Kluyveromyces lactis: one gene and its partner. The protein of the gene in region 1 interacts with the protein of each later gene in a pairwise test. Links are inferred from orthologs where the notes say so. Each region holds a gene or a part of one and is shown in the gene's direction. Other genes may lie near its edges.

Evidence for each region.
Region 2: the proteins of SAC6 (region 1) and ARC15 interact in a protein complementation assay, tested with the Saccharomyces cerevisiae proteins (2 studies listed by BioGRID). The link is inferred for Kluyveromyces lactis from reciprocal best matches to the Saccharomyces cerevisiae genes SAC6 and ARC15.

The regions. Positions count from the first base shown.
Region 1 is NC_006042.1:1,831,044-1,834,616, reverse strand, and holds SAC6 (fimbrin), read left to right. Parts: upstream 1-916; coding exon 917-2,890; downstream 2,891-3,573. Other genes in the region: KLLA0_F19800g (uncharacterized protein), read left to right, coding at 1-473; ERG27 (3-keto-steroid reductase), read right to left, coding at 3,088-3,573. UniProt on the Saccharomyces cerevisiae protein: Binds to actin, and functionally associates with actin structures involved in the development and maintenance of cell polarity.
Region 2 is NC_006039.1:699,713-701,688, reverse strand, and holds ARC15 (Arc15p), read left to right. Parts: upstream 1-1,014; coding exon 1,015-1,476; downstream 1,477-1,976. Other genes in the region: ARG56 (bifunctional acetylglutamate kinase/N-acetyl-gamma-glutamyl-phosphate reductase), read left to right, coding at 1-668; YRB2 (Yrb2p), read left to right, coding at 1,782-1,976. UniProt on the Saccharomyces cerevisiae protein: Functions as a component of the Arp2/3 complex which is involved in regulation of actin polymerization and together with an activating nucleation-promoting factor (NPF) mediates the formation of branched actin networks.

The DNA.
Region 1 (3,573 bases):
CAGATGAGGATTTCAACGTTGGGATGGGCACATCGGCAAATGTATTCAGCGACTCTTCGCTCTACACTCCGTTGAATTACAAGAATGAACGCAATAGAAACAGGGATATGAATGGGAAACAAAGGGCACCAGGGATATCTGAAAACACTCTCAGTTTCAAATACGATCCGTCACCTTTCATACTCCATGATAATATACTAAACAAGACAAAAGTGGATCAATTGCAACAACAAGAGGTTGCCATGAGAAGACTTTTTGATAAAGATAGAGCAATACCTGAATCCAGGCTCAATGTACCGTATTACCAAACGCTATGGAGAGAACAGCTAGATTTAATGGATGATGACATGCCAGAAACAAGTCCGAAATTCGATTACTCGAACTCATCTCAAGATCTATACAAACAGCTCCGGCAGTTCCAAACAGCATTTGTCCAAAATGAGGCGTGGAAGTACGAGGAAAACACTGAATAGCTGGCTAGTAGTATTAACTCCTGTGACTATTTCATCCCTCACAGCTCACAAGATTATTCCACAGTGCGGAATATCCCAATATATCTAATGCAAATAGACTGCGACAAGCATAAATAGCATACGCAAATGGATAGACGGACGATGAAACCCGTGTAAAGCACCGTATGATCAGACTGCTGAACCAGGAGGCTTGTACTGGCTTTAATTCCCTTCAATTATCATAACATACGAACATCACATACTCTCTCCTTTTCCATTTCCAATCGAAAAGCCCTTTAAAGAATAAAGTTTAACATGGTGGAATATAAAACATAAACCTTGAAAGCCGTATTCCACGCCCGAAACAAGAAAGGAAGCCCTCGTCTTTCCTTCTGCCTATACGGTTTACAACTTGCAGTATTAGTGCAATTGATTGGAATCACAGCAATATAAACTGATCAATAATGAATATTATTAGATTACAAAGAAAGTTCCCTGAGTTTTCTCAGGAAGATCTCTTCGAAACGATAGAGCATTTTCGAAACATCGATCTAGAGGATAAGGGCTGGGTTGAAAAACCTCAAATTTTGGAATCCATTTCCAAGTCTGGTGTTGCATCTTATGATGAAGCTAGGGAGACTTTGAAGACCGTTGATGTAGATGCTTCGGGTCATGTTGAATTGGAGGATTACGTGGAATTGATGGCAAAATTAAGAGCAAACGGTTCATCTCAAGGTACGCAACAGGACGAAGACAATTCAAAGGGGTTCCCACAAACGAGCTTTCCTAACATTTCCGGTCAGAGCAACCGTGCACCACCGGTTCCAACTAAACCTAAATCGATTGGTTTGCAACACAAAGGTACTGGTGAGAAAGCTCAGATTATTGTCGGTGGTTCCACTTCTGGTACCACCCACACGATTAATGAAGAAGAAAGAAGGGCTTTCACTACACATATCAATTCCGTGCTAGCTGGGGACGCAGACATTGGTCATAGGCTTCCTTTCCCTACCGATACTTTCCAATTATTCGACGAATGTAGAGATGGGTTGGTGTTGTCCAAGTTGATTAACGATTCTGTCCCGGACACCATCGATACCAGAGTGTTAAACTGGCCTAAGAATAACAAGGCTTTGAACACTTTCACGGCTTCCGAAAACGCCAACATTGTGATCAATTCCGCTAAAGCTATCGGCTGTGTTGTGGTTAATGTTCACTCTGAAGATATTATTGAAGGTAAAGAACATTTGATCTTAGGTTTAATTTGGCAAATTATTAGGAGAGGTTTGCTATCCAAGATTGATATCAAATTACACCCGGAATTGTACCGTTTATTAGAAGAAGATGAAACTTTGGAGCAATTCCTAAGACTACCCCCAGAACAAATCTTGTTGCGTTGGTTCAACTACCATTTGAAACAAGCTGGGTGGCACAGAAGGGTCTCCAATTTCTCTTCTGATATCAAGGATGGTGAAAATTATACTGTATTATTAAATCAATTGGATTCAAATCTATGCTCATTGGGACCACTACAAACCACCGATTTGCTAGAAAGAGCAGAAGAAGTTTTACAAAACGCTGAAAAATTGGAATGCAGAAAGTATTTGACTCCAACGGCATTAGTGGCTGGTAATCCTAAATTAAACTTAGCCTTCGTTGCTCATCTATTCAACACTCATCCTGGTTTGGATCCATTGGATGAAAACGAACCTATCGAAATTGAGGATTTCGATGCAGAAGGTGAGAGAGAAGCCAGAGTTTTCACTTTGTGGTTAAATTCTTTGGAAGTAGATCCTCCAGTTGTGTCACTATTCGAAGACTTAAAGGATGGATTAGTACTTCTACAGGCATATGATAAGGTTATTCCTGGATCTGTAAACTGGAAGGTAATCAACAAGAAATCATCTGACTCTGAACTTTCACGCTTCAAGGCTTTGGAAAATACTAACTATGCTGTTGATTTAGGTAAATCTAGAGGATTCTCTTTGGTTGGTATTGATGGCTCTGATATTGTCGACGGTAATAAACTACTAACGCTAGGTTTGGTGTGGCAGTTAATGCGTAAGAATATTGTCAATACAATGAATGAATTGGCCACGACTGGTAGAGATATGTCTGATTCCCAAATCTTAAAGTGGGCTCAAGAAACAGTTTCCAAGGGTGGAAAATCATCCACCATAAGATCTTTCAGCGATCCTTCGTTGTCCAACGCTCACTTCTTATTGGATGTCCTAAATGGTTTGGCCCCAGGTTATGTGGACTACTCATTAGTGTTACCTGGTAAAACTGAAGAGGACAGATATGCAAACGCCAGATTGGCTATTTCTATTGCTAGAAAGTTAGGAGCTCTAATCTGGTTGGTTCCAGAAGACATCAACGAAGTCCGTTCGAGATTGATATTGACATTCGTTGCTTCTTTGATGGCATTAAAGAGATAATACAGCGATATTTCAAGATTTACTGTACTTCAGCTCTAAAGTCTGTATATGTATTTTCGAATCCTTAAGTCCTCACTTTCAAATAGTATGTGACTACTTTCAAATGATCCTTCATCTAATATGTAACTTATAAGCAACTCGCACGCAACATTACGATAAACAATAATTCTACACGATTTATTTGAATTATGTAAAATTTATAATGGTATCCTTGTAGGCTTAATCTGGTCTTTTAACTTTTCATCCCATTGCAGTTTCAAATTGGAGATGTATTTATACACATCTTCACAGCCGGTTGTATCAACTTCATCAGTTTTAATATATTCTAAACCGTCTCTAAAAGTTGCCGATCCGTATTTCATTTGCTCCTTCTCAAAGTGCGGATTAGCCATTGTTGCTACATATACAGGAGCATTGGCTGCTTTGTATCCTTGTATGTTGTGCCAAGGTGAACCAATCCATCTGGCCAGATAGAATAAGAAGAGCATACCATAGTAGGTGAAAACATTCAAATATTGGAAAAATGAGAGACTGGTAAAAATACCAGGATGGGTGAGATATTGGCGGATTCCGAGCTTTTTCATCTCTTTATATGTTGCAGAATGTAACAAATCAACTAATCTTTTTGAACCTTCATAAGAAACATCGGATTCCAATAGCTGAATATCTTGTAAAGACAAATA
Region 2 (1,976 bases), on another chromosome or scaffold:
CTGATCATAGATTTGTCCCGGAGACGGAATGGAGCTACGGATTACCAGAGTTAAACAACAGAGAAGCAATTGCCAATGCTAAAAAGATTGCTAACCCCGGTTGTTACGCCACCGGTGCCCAAGTAGCGATTGCTCCTCTATCGGAATACATCACAGGATTACCCACAGTCTTTGGTGTTTCTGGTTATTCTGGTGCTGGTACTACACCATCTCCAAAGAATGATCCAAAATTCTTGAACAACAATCTAATTCCTTACTCCTTAACAAACCATATCCATGAGCGTGAAATTTCAACTCGTTTGGGTTTGGAAGTCGCATTTGTTCCTCATGTTGCCCAATGGTTCCAAGGTATTTCTCATACTATTTCTATTCCTATTAAGAAGAACTCACTATCTTCAGAACAAATTAAGGCCTTGTACACCGAATTCTACGCTAACGAAAAGTTGGTACATGTTGCCGATGATATTCCGTTAGTTAAGGACGTTTCTGGTACTCACGGAGTAGTTGTTGGTGGTTTCAAGGTAAATGATGCAAAAGACCGTGTCGTAGTCTGTGCTACTATTGACAACTTATTGAAGGGTGCTGCCACTCAATGCTTACAGAACATCAACCTGGCCTTGAGTTACGGTGAATACGACGGTATTCCAGACAATAAGATTATTCAATAAACGGAACCACCAAAGAATAACCCGTATATCTATATCAATTTGAACTTAGTTAATATATATGTATAAGAAGATAATGTTATCATCTGCTTATCGTTCTTCCTGTCAGTGATAAACAGTCAATCGGTCCAGTGCTGTAAACCATAGTTACCCTGTTTCCAGATTTATTACCCGGATATCTCCTATAAGTTACTATTGAATGGGATTCATATTGAATGGAAACCTTTAAATGGATTAGGTTAAAATACTCGAAATAACTGCAGGCCGGTCTACTTCTTTTATCAGGAAGCATTAGCGCTGAATTATCCTTATCGTATTCATCCAAGCAGCTGCCTTCTGAACTAGTAATATGGAAGACTGGAGAAGAATTGATATCGATGCTTACGATCCTGAAAGTGGGAGATTAACGGCGGATGATTTGAAACCACCATATTCACATACCGTGAGTTTACAAGAGTTACAGCCAACCATTCAACAGTTACGTTCTTACACATCATCTGGTGATTTTGCAGCTGCTGTTGAGCTATTCACAACTGATCCTCCATACAACGCCGACGAACAAGCGAAATCACAATATTTCTCTGGTATATTGGAGGTGCTAACCCAAGTGAGACAAGTGGATATTGCTAATATAGTTAAGCGCTTGGATCGCAAGCAACAAGACGCATTGATAAAATACCTATACAAGGGTATGTCTATACCTGAGGGTCAAAAGCATGGGGGTATCCTTCTCGCATGGTTCGAAAAGTTAACGCAAGTTGCGGGTGTCAATCCAATCGTTCACTATCTCTCGGATAGAAGAACTGTATAAAGAACTATATAACAGTACGATTTTACTTAATTTAGTATGATATATTTACTCTAACGTATATGATCCAGTTTCACCTACCAATGGGCGATCATTACGGATCTTTGTTTGTTTGGCCTTTGTTCACATGGAGTGCAGGCCCTTTATTAAGTATTACTGGGACCTCTCAGAGTTAGTATTTCCAAAAAAAAAAAAAAGAGAAAGTACTAGTTTTAAACATTCAGTTCTTATTGAAAGCACAGACATATGCCAAGAAAGGGTTATAATATTGTCAAGAAGGCTCCAGTATATTGTTCCTGCTTTTCACAATGCCAGAAACTTTAAACGATAGCAATAAACGTGCGCTTCCTGAGGTGAATTCGGAATTAGAAAGCACAGAAACTCCTGTGAAGAAGGTCAAACTCAATGATAAAGATGAAGCAAAACCTTCAGAAGAGACTGATAAGTTCATAACAGAGAATGATACAGCAAATGAAGAGGCCAATTCCGTAGAGAGACCTAAA